Sus scrofa: one gene and its partner. The protein of the gene in region 2 interacts with the protein of the main gene of each other region in a pairwise test. Links are inferred from orthologs where the notes say so. Each region holds a gene or a part of one and is shown on either strand. Other genes may lie near its edges. The genes, in order: GNAI3 and GPSM3.

The links.
Region 1: the proteins of GPSM3 (region 2) and GNAI3 interact in binary tests that used the Homo sapiens proteins (3 or more experiments, as listed by UniProt). The two-hybrid records come from large-scale screens. The link is inferred for Sus scrofa from reciprocal best matches to the Homo sapiens genes GPSM3 and GNAI3.

The regions. Positions count from the first base shown.
Region 1 is NC_010446.5:110,576,064-110,580,461, forward strand, and holds the start of GNAI3 (guanine nucleotide-binding protein G(k) subunit alpha), read right to left. Parts: upstream 2,850-4,398; coding exon 2,732-2,849; intron 1-2,731. UniProt on the Homo sapiens protein: Heterotrimeric guanine nucleotide-binding proteins (G proteins) function as transducers downstream of G protein-coupled receptors (GPCRs) in numerous signaling cascades.
Region 2 is NC_010449.5:24,226,790-24,231,050, reverse strand, and holds GPSM3 (G-protein-signaling modulator 3), read left to right. Parts: upstream 1-1,274; 5' UTR 1,275-1,491; coding exon of another isoform or gene 1,492-1,662; coding exon 1,663-1,704; intron 1,705-1,913; coding exon of another isoform or gene 1,914-1,919; coding exon 1,920-2,022; intron 2,023-2,258; coding exon 2,259-2,458; intron 2,459-2,684; coding exon 2,685-2,822; 3' UTR 2,823-3,478; downstream 3,479-4,261. UniProt on the Homo sapiens protein: Interacts with subunit of G(i) alpha proteins and regulates the activation of G(i) alpha proteins.

The DNA of each region.
Region 1 (4,398 bases), on a different chromosome or scaffold from region 2:
GCTTCCCAGCAAGGAAGGAAAAGACAGTCATCTTTAACGAACACCTATTATGTGCCAGGAGAGACAAGAGTATGTAAACAGATTTCAACTTAGACTAAGTTTAACAGTCTTGCCGTGTTGAAATAAAAATGACTTGCATGTACATCAAAGGAGTTATTCTACAGCAAAAAGAAAATTATTTGTACGCTGTGATGGGTGCATCATGCTTACAGAAATAGCAAGGAAGATATTTAATTTCACAGGTGGGTTATGTTATGGTTCAAGCAAGAGCATCTGTCTCTGTAACCTATTTGAATCTGTTGATTTAACTTGCTCAAGAATATTTTTAAACTCTTACTTAAAACAATAAAATTGATAAAAAGTAAAAGCATGAGTTCCCGTCATGGCTTAGTGGTTAACGAATCTGACTAGGAGCCATGAGGCTGCGGGCTGGATCCCTGGCCTTGCTCAGTGGGTTGCTGTGAACTGTGGTGTGGGTTGTAGACGCGGCTCGGATCTGGTGTTGCTGCAGCTCTGGCGTAGGCGGGCGGCTACAGCTCCAATTAGACCCCTAGCCTGGGAACTTCCATATGCTGAAGGAGCAGCCCTAGAAAAGGCAAAAAGACAAAAAAAAAAATAAAGTAAAAGCAAATGCTTTAATACTTTAATTTTACTTACTGCTTTTGAAGTTCCCTAAGTGATCATCTGTTTAATTTTGTTTTTAATTAAATGTACTATTTATGAAGTCTTGAATAAAGATTTTTCTAGACATTTGAACAAGTTCTGCTTGCCTAAGTTCTGCCTGCCAAATCCTGTCATTTGAAAGAAAGACTCACAGTTTACCTTTACTTTCATAACCAATCAGTCAATAGAGACAACCCCAACGTCTTAAGTATTATGGTTTATATCAAACATCTGAAAAGCCCCAAGGAGCAATGTCCAACATTAGCTGGTTAACAGTATGTATTTTAAAAGCACCCACTACATACCAGCGACCCCACTCATTCACAAATGCTGTTAATAGAGAGTGGCAGACTGGAACTTCAATTTGAATTCATACATTCTATAGGCTTGGTATTCAAACTGAAAGCTCAAGCTCCAATGCCTAACTTTCCCTCTTTATTCAAAAAGCTGTTACCAGGGTTTCTGCAATCTACAAACCATCAAACATGTTAACATGAAGAGACGAGCATGGGCGCCCAAAACAAACCTCGGGTTATGGTGGTGCATTCTATCCTCTGGAGCTTTATATTATAAAAACTTAGCACTTCTCCTAAATCAACCTCTTTTTCTCAAAAATCAATTGTTTCAAAAAGTAAAGTGATACTGCTTACAGAAATTGTTACTCCCACTTGTTCTTCCCTAACGGATCCCTAGAAAACACTAACAGTGAAGAAATGTGGCTTGATTTATTGGTAAGCTGATGCTAGGGTACTTTATCTGATTCACTGAGCCTCTAGAAATCAGTGTCTCAAAATTCTAAAACAAATCATGCTGAGTAAAATGCATCTGACTGTAAAAGCTGCTTAAAACGAATGTCAACTAAAATAAACAGTAATTCCTGAAGCCAATATTTTTATGTTTTTAAAATTTTTATCTTTTTAGGGCCAGACCTGCGGCATATGGAGGTTCCCAGGCTAGGGGTCCAATCCAAGCTGTTGCTACTGGCCTACGGCCAGAGCCACAGCAACACCAGATCCTTAACCCACTGAGCAAGGCCAGGGATCGAACCCACAACCTTATGGTTCCTAGTCGGATTCCTTTCCACTGCGCTATGGCGGGAACTTCTGAAGCCAATTATTTTTAGTTTGAAAAAAACAAAAAAAGTACAGGTCTGTCGCTGTCACACTTTTAACAGTAAGTATGTCCAATTCCACAATTTATTTTTAGATAACTGCATTCCCACTGCCCATCATTCTTAGTAACTATTCAGAAACTTCCACTGTGTAATCTATTGACACCATTACATCTTATGCCACAAACCTCAAACAAACCAGGACATAAATTTCCTCAGCTCACACCACCTCCCCCTTATGAAAACAAGGCAAGGAGTTATAAAACCTTAAGAGAATAAATATCACAGAAAAAGGTGGATAAGTACACACAGCCTCTGCACCCGAATTCTTTTCCTTTATACCCTAGAACCTGTCATTTACCTCAACTACACATCTTCGTGTTCCTGGATAACCCGGGGTTCCTTCGCCTTCCAGACAGTTCAAAATGCCCACTCTAATAAATGGCAAGGTCCTCCGGAACCGCTGTCTCGGCCCCTCTATTTCTATTAACCACTCAAGCCTCCCAGCTCTATCCTGTCACAAAGTATCACCATGCTGCATGCACACTCGCAAGCCATTATACAAGCCCAACACCCTCTCCCACCCTCCTTGCTACCAACTCATTCCAACCCCTCACTTGCAAAACCTTCCCTAATCTGAGCTCTTCCCATATTCCTAATAAAGTCTCAATGTCCTACTGGACCATATTCCCAAGCTCTCTCCGCTAAACGCAATTACAGCATGGAGTCGCACCCTCTCGCCTAATTTCAAACACCTCAAAACCCCACCTCTCATCAAGCCCGCCCGAGGCCTCAGCCACCAGCCCCACACCCCGCCTTGAGCCCGTCACTGCCTCCAGACCCTTCGGGGTCCTTTCCGAGGGCCCGGTCTGACCCCGGCTCAGGGCTCCCGGCTCAGGGCTCCCGAGTGCCTGGGCCCTCCCGAAACCTCCGCCAGCCCCGCCCCCAGCTCCTCACCAAGTAGCAGCAGCTTCACTTCTTTCGCCGCTTTCTCCCCATCCTCCCGCAAGTTGCGGTCGATCATCTTGCTCCGTTCCACCGCCGCCTTGTCTTCGGCGCTCAACGTGCAGCCCATGGCGGCGGCGGGAGTGGGGACCGGGCCGGGGCTCACTTAACACACCGCGGAGACTGCGGCTCGGCCGGCTGAGACAGCGTCTACTGCTGGGCGGCGGCCCTCTCCGTCAGCCCCCGGAGCGCCCGAAGGAACCGGATATCCGGAGTTTCACGACACTTCCGGCGACGCCCCGCGCCGTTGCTGCGCGGACCTTTCTGGCTGGGGTAGGGGAGGCACAACCGAAAGCGGAAGTACAGAGAGAGGGTTGGGAGGGCGGTCGGCGATTCTGGTGAAGTGGGGAGGCTCTCTCGAGCTCCCCCGGGCTCCGCTCGACCTTAGTCCCCTTTCACCTTTTTTTTCGGCTGCCTTGTTTGGATAAATGCAGAAAAGCCAGGGACTGGTTGCTCCAGCTCAAGGCATCCTCCCGAGGTCACATAGCCAGCTTCAGATTGGCTTGGGGGGGTGGGACTTCCCAAATAATTGCCCACAGCCCGCACGGGAATTTCTGCTGGGAATTTCTCACTGGCCAGAAAGCCCATCTGAACTCTGGCTGTGACGATCTGGGGCCCCTGCCCAAGTGTAGAACACTTTCTCTGCCAGGGTTGTCTCAGCCAGATCGCTAGGGTGAGAATTATGTCTGGACCCTGGCCACGCTCCACATCTGAAATAAGTAAGATCGGCCATGGTTGGGACTTCATGGATCCCTTTCTGCCCTCTGGCCCACCGCCTCCTTCTCTTAGCTGTACCCTGTGGGCTTGAGAGTTGCCCAGCTACTATGTTGGCAAAGGGCCACGTGAAATCGCTAACAGATCTTAAATTACCTGAAAGATAAAGAGTGTAGTTGCTCCAGAAAATTCCCGCGTTACCTTTCCCCAAGGCAAGCCAGTGTTAGCGCTCACAGATCGTCCTGCATTAGGGGTTAGGACGTCTACCAAGATTAGTCAATCAAAGTCCCACACCCAAAACCAGTACATCCTATAAATCTCCTAAAACTTCCTGTTGTGGTAACACAAGAAAAGCGAAGTTCTAGTAAAATTTGTCTCTCGGCTATAGCATCACCTGAAAGTTGATAAATCCCCTGTGAAAGCCCCAGACTTTTTATCCATAATCCTGGATACTACAGTGAAAGTGTCCCTTAATTACCTTCATTTCCAAATAGCCTGCAAATTCTCTCACCGTATAGTCTAGGGAGAGGAATTCTTGTAGCCTCCAAGTCTTTCCCTGAAATTAAAAACTATTTCCTTAATAGAATCTAAACCTTAGAATATTAGGTCCCAACAGAAAGGTCTATATAGTGACTGTTGACCCTCAGAGGGATTTCTTGAGAGCCAACCTAAACAGCCTCATCTACCATCATACATCAAGAACAGATCTTCCAAGTTCTAAGTCTCCTACTCTTTTCTAAGTGACTGCTAGAATAAAAGGGACTGCGTTTCCATATTCAACACTTTAGGGGAAAAAGGGCCAAAGTAAAGGGAAGAAAAATCAATATTTATTGAGTACCTATTTGCCAGGTATGGCCAGGTGCTTCCATGTGTCATGTCCCTTATTCCTCACAACAACCCTGTGA
Region 2 (4,261 bases):
GCTTTTTGTTACAGGCATTTAGGAGATTCCTGAGGCCTCAAGTAGAGGGAGATGGAGAGAGCATCTCAAACTTTAACCACCAATCAGCAATACAGTTAATTATATCTCTTTTTTTCTTTTTTTTTAGGGCCTTCCCCATGGCATATGGAGGTTCCTGGCTAGGCGTCGAATCAGAGCTGTAGCCACTGGCCTACGCCAGAGCCACAGCAACGCGGGATCCGAGCCGCATCTGCACCTACATGACAGCTCATAGCAACACCAGACCCTTAACCCACTGAGCGAGGCCAAGGATCAAACCTGCGTCCTCATGGATACTAGTCAGATTCATTACCCGCTGAGCCATGACAGGAACTCCTAGTTATACCTCTTTCAAGGCAATGGACCTGAGACACAGAGGCATGAAGCATTTTTAAGGCTAATAATAACTACCATTTATTAAGCATTCACAATGTGCCAAATGCTTTATCACATTGAATCCTCATATCAACTCTATTTTTAAAAAACTCCAGAGTTCCCACTGTGGTGCAGCAGGTTAAGGATCCAGCGTTGCCTCCGTGGCAGTGTAGGTTCAATCCCCAGCCCAGCACAGCAGGCAAAGGACCCAGCGTTGCCTGGATTCCATCCTTGGCCTGGCAACTTCCACATGCGCACGTGAGGCCAAAAAGGAAAAACAAAAACGAAAACCTCCATTTTAATCTTTCAGAAACTGAGGCACAGATTTTATTTGCCCAAGATTGGAAGGCATTAAGTGGCAAAACTTGATCTTGTCATCATATTTCATGCTTAAAGTCACTCAGTTCATAGGACAGGTTGCTATTTGGAGGTCCCAAATGTCTCTGCTGTCCTGTTCCCACCTCGGCATCAGCCAATCTGACCAGCATCGAATAAAGAGAGACCAAGCCAGGTTTAATCCTCTCCCTTTCCTATTTCATGACTAGAGGGAAGCTTCCCCTGCCCCCTTGTCTCTTACGTGTGCTGCATATTTTGTCCCCTGAATAGACCGCAAGTACCCATAGGGCAATGATAACTATTCTACACATTTATTAGACACAGTGCTAGGAGGATATGTATATGTTTGAGAGCCTGACATCCCTGGATCTGAGTCTTCTGCTTCCCCCTGGAACCATGCTCCTCCCAGTCCCAGTAAGTCTGACAGAGGCTGAGGAAGAGGGTCCTTCTTGGGGAAGATACCTGGGGCAATGAATGGGGGGGGGGGTTGGGGGGGTTCTGAGGAGTGAAACCACTTCCTTTGTAGCTAGTTCCTGTGTTGACAGAACTGCAGGGGAGGAGGGGGGGTGGAGGGAACAGAGTTGGGGGGTTAGGGGGCTACTGAGGCTCTGGAGATGAGAATGCCAAAAGTCCTTCCCCACCCTGAACCTCCACCACTGCAGCAGCTGGAGGAGCTTTTCCCAGTCTCTGTGCTCCCCTGAGGCAAGCGAGGTCTAGCAAGCAGCTTGGGTGGGAAAAGAGAACTGGAGGAAGTTGACAGGGATGGGCGGGGCCGGTGGGGGGGCTGACCAGGAACCCAGCTTCCTGCTCAGTACCCAGGCATCCAGCCCCCGGCTCACCCCCACCCCTTTCAGCCCCTACTCCCCTCAGGACCTCAGGGTTCCGGCCCTCCTCCCAAATCCCACCCCCCCATCGGCTTCTCCCCTCCAGGGGATGGAGGCTGAGAGACCCCAGGAAGAAGAGAATGGTGAGCAGGTGAGCTGAGTACTGGGTCGGGGAGGCTGACACTGCGAGAGGGAGGTGAGAAGACCTGAGAAAGAGACTGAGTCATGGTGGACTCCGGGGACGCGGAGGGGCTTGGGCACACTGAGGCAGAAACAGACACAGAGAGAGGAAATGGGCTACTCGCCTAGCCCTCTGCCCACCCCACCCCTGCCTGACTGGCTGGAACCGCTGTCTCTCAGCATCAGGACCCCGATCAGGATGAGCATGGCTGGCCCCCTGTGAACACCAGCACTCGGCCTTGGCGATCTGCTCCTCCGTCCCCTCCTCCTTCAGGGACCCGCCACACAGGTACCCCCACCCACCCAGGGAACTCCCTGACCCTGGTGCCCACATCCTCCCTGATCCCGTTACCAAGCCCCACTCCATCACGGGCTCCTTCCCCACCTCCTCCAGACTCCCCATCACACCCCTGAGCCCTGATCCCAAGTCCCTCAACACCTTACCCTGCACCCCCCCACACACACACACCCCACTCCTGACTGCCAGCTTCTCTGGGTCTCTGAGCCCTCCCCCTCCTCTCCCAGCCGTGGGGCCCCGTTCGGCCTCCCTTCTCTCCCTGCAGACTGAGCTGCTCCTGGACCTGGTGGCTGAAGCCCAGTCCCGCCGCCTAGAAGAACAGAGGGCCACCTTCCATGCCCCCCAGAAGCTCCCAAGCCTAGGCCGAGTCCCACCCCGGCCTCTTGAGGACAGAGAACAGCTCTACAGCACTATCCTCAGTCACCAGGTGAGTCACCCCACTGCCTGCCCCCCCAGGAGACAAGGCCCAGGCTTCTTGGTCTCTTGGTCCCTGTTCTCTTTGGGGCCCCACCCCTCCTTCTCCCCAGGCACCTGCCCTAGTCCCCCATCCCCATCACACATGTCCTATATGCCCCTCACACCAGCCTGGCTCCTTTCAAGGCCTGCTCCTCTTAGAACCTTACCAACAACCTTCCCTGCCTCTCCTCCTCCAGTGCCAGCGGATGGAAGCCCAGCGGTCAGAGCCTCCCCTACCCCCAGGGGGGCAGGAGCTCCTGGAGTTGCTGCTGAGAGTTCAGGGTGGAGGTCGAATGGAGGAGCAAAGGTCCCAGCCCCCCACACACACCTGCTAAGACTTGAGCTCCCACCAGCCCTTCTGCACTCCCGGGGTTCAAAGCTGGGCGGCCCACTGCAGGCCTTGAGCCCTGCCCCGCAGGGGCACCAGAGACTGGAAGAACCAGCAGAATTCTCAATATTCACTGCCCTCATCCACCTTTCCTGGGAACTAGAGGGGGTGAAAGTCCTCAAACCCTGGGAATTGTCAAGGTAGGATGGATATTTAACTCCCCCTGTGACCAAGTAGGTGGGAGCTTGAGGCCGGGAGAGGATCCTAGGTACAGAGGGACACCTCACCCTTTCCTCTGATCTCAGGGAGGGCCTGGAGTCTTGGTCCTGAGCTGTGGGGACACCCTCCCCCCATAGTCTGGCCACCAGGTGGGAGCTGAGGGCTCAGGCCTCCACCTCCCAAGGAGGCAAATCTCCGGAGGTTCTGACCTGAGAGACAGTTCCACCCTTCTTCCCAACAAGAAGGGAGGAGAGGGCACAGCAGAGACATTGACTCTTCTCCCACCCCCCCACCCCCCCACCCTGGCACATCGCCCCCCCAGCCCCAGAACTGAGGGGCCTACAGCCTGTGGATGGACATTGAGCCCTGCCCACCCTCCCTCCCCACTGCTGTTCTGAACTGTCTGATGTTTGGTTATGTGAATAAATATAATTCCCCTCTGGACTGAAGACTGGTGTCTGGGTGGCAGGGTGGAGGGTAGGAAGGTGAGGCCAGAGGCCGCCACTCTCTCCAGTCTGGCCAGAGGCCAGCTCCCCTCCCTGGCTGGTTAATTACTGGCTCATTAAGCAGCGGCTAGAGACCTTCCTAATTATCCCCCCCAGCCCCCCTCTCCTGGTTTTAATTAAGTAGAACAGGGAGGGGAGTCATTAGGAGAAGAAATATGAACTAAGCTGTCTGTGAACCCAGGCATTCCCGCGGCCGGAGTCCACATCAGCTAGAACCCGGATTCAGAACCCCGGCGGCAGGTGCCCCCAGCCCCCAACACGGCGCCCTCCCAAGCCACAGAGGTCCATCCCTGGGGCCTTCCCTTCTTTTCCCCAAGGGCCAGTCTCCTCCCCTCGTCCCCTCCTCCACTTGGTCTCAGTTCCTCTGTTTCTGTGTCTCTCTCCGCCCCCAGCTCCTCCCTGTTCCTCCTCTCTTCTCCCCTCCTCTTCCTCCCCAGCTCCCCTCCCCCAGCCTCCTCCTCCCTCCTCCCCCCTCCTCCCTCCTCCCTCCTCCCTCCCTCTCTCTCCCTCTCCTCTCTCCTCTCTCTCTCCCCTCCCTCTCTCTCTCTCTCTCTCTCTCTCTCTCTCTCTCTCTCACTCACACACCCCCGCTTGGGCCTCCTCTCTCTCTCCGGCTCCATTTTCTCCGCCGCCGGGGGCCGGGGTCTCCTGTGGGGGGCCCAGACGGTACCCCAGGTCTCCCTCCAGGGCCGGGGCGGACCCCCGGGAGAGCCGGGAGAGG